Bombyx mori: one gene and its partner. The protein of the gene in region 2 interacts with the protein of the main gene of each other region in a biochemical or structural test. Links are inferred from orthologs where the notes say so. Each region holds a gene or a part of one and is shown on either strand. Other genes may lie near its edges.

Region 1 (4,281 bases), on a different chromosome or scaffold from region 2:
AAGGTGTTATTGTAATCTATAAAATAGTACTAATTAATGAAATTAATATTTTATTTGATAGTTATAAGTATTAATTAAGTTGTTAATATTAAATTAGCTGAATTATCCTCAAAAGCATTTTAAGTATTGTTTGGAAAAAGAAACATTTTTTAATTCTCACAACAATTTGAGTATTCTGATTAGGTTTTTGACTTATTCTACTCACTTCACCTTCCATTCCACCAGTTCCTTCCTCTTCACCTTCAATATCATTGGAGTTCATAACATTATTCTTCTCTTCTTCAGCACCACTATCTTCTTCGTCGGAATCCAAGGAATGTTTCTTGCCATCCTTCGTGGCCTTTTTTACTTCGTCTATTAATGCTTCGGAAGCGGGACGCTTTGACATTTTGGTAAAGTAACTAAAAGGAACAAATTTTAATTAAAAACATTAAAAAATATTTGGGTTTATCTAACAAAGACTTTAAACTATAGGCACATTCCTAAATTATCATTGAACACTAAGCAAAGTTTTACTCATCCTCACCCTAATAATATTTTGGGCGCCTTTTCTTGAATAGGTGAACTCAAATTGAGTGAATCAGATTCAACTAGGTTGGTACACGGTTGGTACCTCTTCTTAATTGTGATTGTGTGTCTGTTGCCGTGTGTTAGGTACGCTATCAATGAAATCAATGTTTTTATGTCTATCAAGGTATGGTCTCAAATCTCAATTATTAATTTTATTATGTGTATCAATGACTCGAATATTTAAGTGTATAATCTATGTCTATGACTACGATGTTTGGTTTTAGGACTTTTTGGCGGGAACGCGAGGGGTGAAGTTGTGTGATTTGTTTTATTTTGTCTATTTAGTGTTTCTTCGGGTTTAGATATGTAATAATGGTGGTTTATTAACTGTTTAATATGTGTGTAACTGTATTTTTCTTCTTCTTTACTTAGACATTTTTGTCCACTTTGAGATTTAATTGTTATATATCTGTGCAAAACCGACTTACTTATATTAAATTGCTTAGCTATTTCAACTAAAGACTTATTCCCAAATTCATAGTCTTCTATTGCTGTTTTTAATATTAAGGGATCATATCTCTTATAAAGCTTGCACTCTTTGATACATACACGCGAGGCATATCTAAAAATAGAAAACAATACGTAACTGATAATATAAATATAATTGCACTAATAATTAAATAAAAGTTTTAGACAAAAACATCATGAATAAATGAGATTCTTACCAACACGTTTAAAAAAGATTGTTATAACTACATAGACAACCCTACAATCCTGTACGTATTTATACTTAAGTCGTTCCCATTCAACTTATTGTCGTCCCAATTGACCTCCCTTTCATTGTTATTTGTAGCTCAGGTGACCCCATTAACCCCAAACATAACAATTTTAATATGTATTTTTAAATTATCAAAAAACATTAAAACCAATAACAATTGAGACTTACCGTTAATATATATGATGGCTCAAACACTAAATAAAGTTTTTATATCACAGTCGTCTTATATTATTATCAAATAATATATGCTGGCTTAACCATCAACTGGTGTTCGGTTGTAAAGGACCTAGGCCTACTTATTGACTCCAGCCTGAGTTGGCGAGCCCAGGTCATCTCCGTGTGTCAGTGAGTTACACTTACACTCCGTATGCTTTACCGCCTGAACAATATCCTTCCGCCCGAAACCAAGAGACAATGCTCGTTTAAACTTTGATCTTCCCCATGATCGACTATGGTGATGTGTGCTACTTTGACCTGAATGCAGATCTACTCAATAAACTTAACCGGCTTCTCAATAACTGCATTCGATTTATTTATAATCTTCGGAAATACGATCATGTATCTTCTCATCGCTCCCAACTCAAATTGCTCCCCATTCGACAACGCCGTAGCTTGCGTGCTCTCAGTACTCTTTACTCTTTGTTGCACTTCCCAAATCCACCTGAATACTTAGGGTTTGACTACAGCCAAAATCTTCGTTCATCTCACAATCTTCTTCTTCGCTGTTAGTTCGCAGGTAGTTCGGACTTTTTACATTCTTCCTTCACTATTCAATCTATTCTTCTATGGAATGCGCTCCCACTTAAAATAAGGTCGGCCAGAGTTTAAGACAAGGTTTCGAGTACTTAGAATCAATTAGATGACTCTGCTAAGAGTTAGCAGAGTCATCTAATTGATATTTATTTATATATACACATTTTTATATGTATATATTTATGTATATGTATTTATTTAACAAACAAACAACTGTCTGTACAAACTGTTTAAATAGCACTCGGGAGTTATTTTGCGAAAAAAAACTGTCACACTTTTGGATTAGAAAAAAATAGATGTTGCTTCAGCTGAAGCACTGTAGTGCGCTACCGAAGAATTACACAATCAACGTGAAAAAAGAGCAACCGGTTGGCGATGTATCGCATCCCGACCCGACAGCCTGGTTCTAGTCCAGCGGGGTATTCCGGGACTCCAGTCGCACTGTGTGGGTGGCCTGACGGGCTATCGTACCCAGACGGCTGACGGCTGTAGAGCATTCCGTCTCAAAGGCTCCGTCGACCGGACGTCCTCGGGGGAGCTGCGCTGTCTGTAGTGTTGACCGCGATAACCCCTTTACCTCACCCGGGTTCTGACCTGGAAGGGTATCAGACGATTGGGCGAGAGTGCAGGGGAGTTGTGTAGTGGGTATGGCCCTAAATTCTATCCTTTAGGCCCGCGGTACCGGCGAAGGCGGACTTTCGGCGCGGTATTGTGGGTTTCGTGGAGTCGTAGCGGTCAGTAAGCCCCCTCAACCGGGTAACCGTACGGATTCTACAGCGTTAAAAAAAAACAAAAAGAAGGCCCGCGGTTCACTCCCATACCCCATGCGCCCCTAGGGGCGGGGTATTCCTAGAAAGTTCGGCCCCCAGTCCAAAAAAAAAGATCAAGCACTTCAAACCGCATTTCGTCGACTTTCGCCAGGGAAACTGCTTAGCTGAGTGTTAAGCAACATACCTTGATAAAAAAGTCGTCGGGGCCTAAAGGATAAGACGTTCGGTGCATTCGTGTTGAGTGATGCATCGGTGTTCGAATCTCAGGTGGGTACCAATTTTTCTAATGAAATACATACTCAACTAATATTCTGGATTGACTTCCACGGTGAAGGAATAACTTATTTATTTATTTTATTTATTTATGTACACACAGAAAAAAAGACATAGTACAGAGTAATAGGAAAATTATGTACAAAGGCACTGCTTATTTCTTTAAGAAATCTCTTCCAGCAAACCTGCGAGAGGATAATGAGAATAATAATAAAAAGTGATAAGTGTGTGTAGAACAAATAATACATAACTAAAACAACAAATACAACATGAGAATTATAGTAATGCACTTACACATACCAAATATTGTTAAACTTGAGTACAAAATATTATAAGTCACAGTAACACTCGTATATACGAAGAGTATAGAACCATGATCACTCGGTTGATGAGAGATAAAATTGTTTGACCTTGTATTTAAAAACAGAAACAGACTTGCAAACTCGGATGTCAGCCGGCAACGAATTCCACAGTCTGACCGCGTGCACAGTAAAGGAGTGAGAATAGAAATTGGTTTTGTGAGAAGGGAATAACAAAACAGAACGTTGGTTGGACCTGCAGGGAGCATCAGGAGAACGAATGAAAGAGAATCGCTCACGTAAATATAAGGGAGAAGTGGGCTTATGTAGGATATTGAATAGGAGACATAATATTCGAGTATTCCTACGAAGGCGTATAGGGAGCCATTTAAGTTCTTTGCGAAAATGTGAAACATGATCGAATTTTCTGAGATTGTATATAAAACGGATACATAGATTTTGCATCCTCTCAAGCTTGTTTGAGAGCTCCTCAGTGGCATCCAAGTAGCAGGCATCGGCGTAATCAATTATGGGTAGAATGAGAGCTTGGACGAGAGATATTTTTGTATGCTGAGGTAAGAAGCCCTGCAGACATCTCAACGAGTGCAAGGCGAAGTGCACCTTCCTACTAATCTCAGCAACGTGAGAACTCCACGAAAGATGTCGATCCATACACCCAGGTTTTTAACTGAATCGGTTAGAGTTATTTGAGTCCCATCCAAATAAATTGGGGGGAGTATAGGATCGCTGAGTCTACTGCGCAATTGTTTACCCCCTATAATGATAGCCTGTGATTTTCCCGGATTAATGTGCAGACCGTAGGCTTTTGCCCATTCAGTGATAGACTTCAGATCACTGTTCATCGCAGCAATAGCCGATTCAACGTCAGGCTCTGAGA
Region 2 (3,750 bases):
ACACGAGAACCCTCTCATCGTGGCCGCCGGTAACTACATTCCCGATCCTGCGGACAGAATGGAAAGCAGTCGACGTCGCCCAAAACACGTCATCTCGGATCCTCCCGATCCACTAACGGTGCTTTTAGGTACTTCAAGCACCGGTCACCGTTCTCGTCGAACCCGTCGCTTGCGACGAAGGGCTCGGCGAGTAAATTAACTCTCAGACACAGCCCACTGAGTTTCTCGCCGGATCTTCTCAGTGGGTCGCGTTTCCGATCCGGTGGTAGATTCTGCGAAGCACGGCTCTTGCTAGGGTTCGTGTTAGCAACGTCATCAGGTTTGAGCCCCGTGAGCTCACCTACTAGCCACGGTTACGCTGAAATAGCCTCTAAAGACTATCAGCTTAGGTAGGAAAAAAAAAAAAGCAATCGATGCCAACTCAGTGACAGACCTCAGTAAACCTTTATTGTTGAAAAAATTTGTAAGGCTTTCGTTTCGTCGTAGTTTCGTTGGAAATAATCAAAGTTAATTCAAACTGTGCTAAAAAATAATAATATAAGTATGGATGAAGGTACAAATAATTACTTTTTTTTTATATACCACATTTAAAATGTGAATACAATTTCATTTTAGAATTCGAATCTGTAAACAAATTAATTTTACAGGTATATACTTTTGTAAACATTGCAATGATCATCATGAACTTAGCGCACTCTGCTGATGCATTTGAAAACTAATTCACGTTCCAATTAAGCTTCAGCATAATTCGGCATTGTGTGCCACTGAGTCGCATTGTGCTCTGTAATTGGAAAACTACTACTGTATGCGCGCGAGTTCATGTCCATCGGGGCCAGAGGCGATGCGCGGGGGACAGCTCGCCCCACCTTCGCCCGCCTCCCCGCGTTTGTCTGACGTCGAGTGTTGTTCTGACGGTTGTGACGCGAGCTTATCGATGTCATAATTTAAACTAACGCTATTATGTCATTTAACCATAACTACTCCGCTTCCAACAAGTTCAGATAGAAAAAAACCTACTGAAAAAAGATACATACTGACTCCGACTCTGATCTGTCGGTTGTCTTTTCATTTGATAGTGATTAAATTGAAATTTAAAGAATATTTTTCTCTATTAGAAATAAACAAGTAATTAGTTATCACATTTATTTTATTTCATAAATTGCAAAATTACCTTAAGTTACATTTAACCAAATTGACAGCTGTTGACTAAATCGGTAGTTATTATCGACATTACCATAATTAACTAGGTCACAGCACTACCGCATTCCTCAGGATGCACATGAACTCGCGCGCCTACAGTAATGTGTTTAATAAGTGTTATTGTTTGTGTAGTGCGCCACTGAGGGTGCGTTCGAGTGCGCCCGCGCCGTGTACGGGTACGCGCTGTCCGTGTTCCCGTCCAAGAAGTCCATCTGGCTTCGCGCCGCCTACCTGGAGAAGCAGCACGGGACTCGCGCCAGCCTCGAGACGCTGCTGCAGCGGGCCGTCGCGCACTGCCCCAAGTCGGAGGTGCTGTGGCTCATGGGCGCCAAGTCCAAGTGGCTCGCAGGTCAGGGACGATTTATCGATCCGTTCGTTCCGTTCCAGTAACACGTTAGAAGTCGACGTGGCTTAAAGTCGACGTCCGGTGCATTCGTATGTAGCGATGCACCGGTGTTCAAATCCCGCTGGCGGGTACCAATTTTTCAATGAAAGACGTACTTCAGAAATCTTCACGATTGACTTGCACGGTGAAGAAATAATATCGTGTAATTACTGATGGTAGGACCTCTTGTAAGTCCGCACGGGTAGGTACCACCACCCTGCCTATTTCTGCCGTGAAGCAGTAACGCGTTTCGGTTTGCAGGGTGGGGCAGCCGTTGTAACTAACTATACTGAGACCTTAGAAATCAAATCTCAAGGTTGGTGGTGGCGTTTCCGTTGTAGATGTCTAAGGGCTCCAGTAACCACACTTAACACCAGGTGGGCTGTGAGCTCGTCCACCGACCTAAGCAATAAAAACGTAAAGACGAATGTTGCCCATCTCTCTGCCCGTCGGCTCTGTAAGGGCAGTTTGATACGTTTATAGATTTTGAGAGCACTCACACAAAATGAAGTGCTGTAGATGACACGACTTTCGAATTATTTTTCAGTTCAATTTGATTTATTTATTGCTGGCGTGCGGTCCCCTACGATGGTTGTTACCGTCGTAGTAAATTTTCTCAAAATTCGAATATGACAATAAGTACATATAGTCTACTATACATAATATATAGATATTAAAGACCCAAATATAGAGCATACAAACTTGTTTATAACGCGAGAGCTGACCCAATGCTGAAATCGTCACCAACACCCTCAGCAGTTCGGGTCGCTAACCACAGCACCACCGATTGGGTCTATTTGAATAAACCAATCATTAATGTTTCGTTTAGGCGACGTACCGGCGGCTCGGGGTATCCTGTCGCTGGCCTTCCAGGCCAATCCCAACTCTGAAGAGATCTGGTTGGCCGCCGTCAAACTGGAGAGCGAGAACAAAGAGTACGACAGAGCGAGACGGCTGCTGGCTAAAGCTAGGGCTTCAGCTCCCACACCGAGAGTAAGTTTTTTTTTCCTACCTATGCTGATAGCCTTGAGAGGCTATCTCAGCTTTATCCTAGCGTGTAGGTGAGCTCTCGGGGCTCAAACCGGAGGTGTTGCTAACACTGGCCCTAGCAAGAGCAGTGCTTCCCAGAATCTGCCACTGAGAGGATCCGGCGAGAAACTCAGTGGGCTGGTGTAAGTTAAATCAACATTAATATTGTAAGATTCGTCTGTTCGTACTCTGCAATTATGAGACCCACTCTAGGGAGGTCATAGGTCCCCCTCCCCCCGACCGACTAGTGGCGTTTAGCTCTTATTTCACAAGAGTTATAGCTTAATGTCTTTTGACGTCAATTTTTTCGGTGTAAGAACCGATTTTAATGCTTTATTTTGTTTGTTACATTTGATGAATGACGGAAACATTTCTGAAGATGTTTATTTAAAAACATTTACTTAAAGGGGTTCTTGTGAGGCTACACGAGGAATTACCGCCTCCCTGTCTATTTCTGCCGTTAAACAGTAACGCGTTTCGGTTTGAAGAATGAGGCAATGGATGTACTATAAAAACTGATATAGAATAAGCTCGTCTACACGTCGAAGCAATAAATAAAAAAACGATTTCTATTTATTTACTTTTTTAGGTGATGATCAAATCAGCGAAACTAGAATGGGCATTGAACAATCTGGACGTAGCCATAAAGTTACTGGACGAAGCGATCAAAGTGTTCGGGGACTACGCAAAGCTTCACATGATGAAGGGACAGATTGAGGAACAAATGGCCAAGGACGAAGACGCTCACAACACATATAGTCAAGGGGTGCGTATATAATCTTTAATATCTATAATCTAAATAATCTTTTTTTGTTATGATTGAACTTGTATTAGCACCAATAATGCGATGTTTTAATTGGACTTCTAACTTTACTGGTGGTAGAACATCTTGTGAGTCCGCACGGCGTTAATGCATTTCGGTTTGAAGGGTGGGGCAGCCGTTGTAACTATATTAGACCTTAGAACTTATATCTGAAGGTGGGTGGCGCATATACGTTGTAGATGTAGATGGGCTCCAGTAACCACTTAACATCAAGTGAACTGTGAGCTCGTCCACCCATCTAAGCAATAAAAAATAAATAAATAAAAATAAGTTCACTCCATTCAAATAACTGAAGAAGCTTTATGTTATGATA

Evidence for each region. The genes of interacting proteins can lie anywhere in the genome.
Region 1: the proteins of pre-mRNA-processing factor 6 (region 2) and CD2 antigen cytoplasmic tail-binding protein 2 homolog form a complex in vitro, tested with the Homo sapiens proteins (2 studies listed by BioGRID and IntAct). The link is inferred for Bombyx mori from reciprocal best matches to the Homo sapiens genes PRPF6 and CD2BP2.

What each region holds. Positions count from the first base shown.
Region 1 is NC_085111.1:10,749,820-10,754,100, forward strand, and holds the start of CD2 antigen cytoplasmic tail-binding protein 2 homolog, read right to left. Parts: upstream 2,909-4,281; 5' UTR 1,457-2,908; intron 1,133-1,456; 5' UTR 999-1,132; intron 773-998; exon of another isoform or gene 527-772; intron 402-526; 5' UTR 389-401; coding exon 206-388; intron 17-205; coding exon 1-16. UniProt on the Homo sapiens protein: Involved in pre-mRNA splicing as component of the U5 snRNP complex that is involved in spliceosome assembly.
Region 2 is NC_085109.1:9,946,439-9,950,188, forward strand, and holds part of pre-mRNA-processing factor 6, read left to right. Parts: intron 1-1,332; coding exon 1,333-1,549; intron 1,550-2,414; coding exon 2,415-2,578; intron 2,579-3,203; coding exon 3,204-3,380; intron 3,381-3,750. UniProt on the Homo sapiens protein: Involved in pre-mRNA splicing as component of the U4/U6-U5 tri-snRNP complex, one of the building blocks of the spliceosome.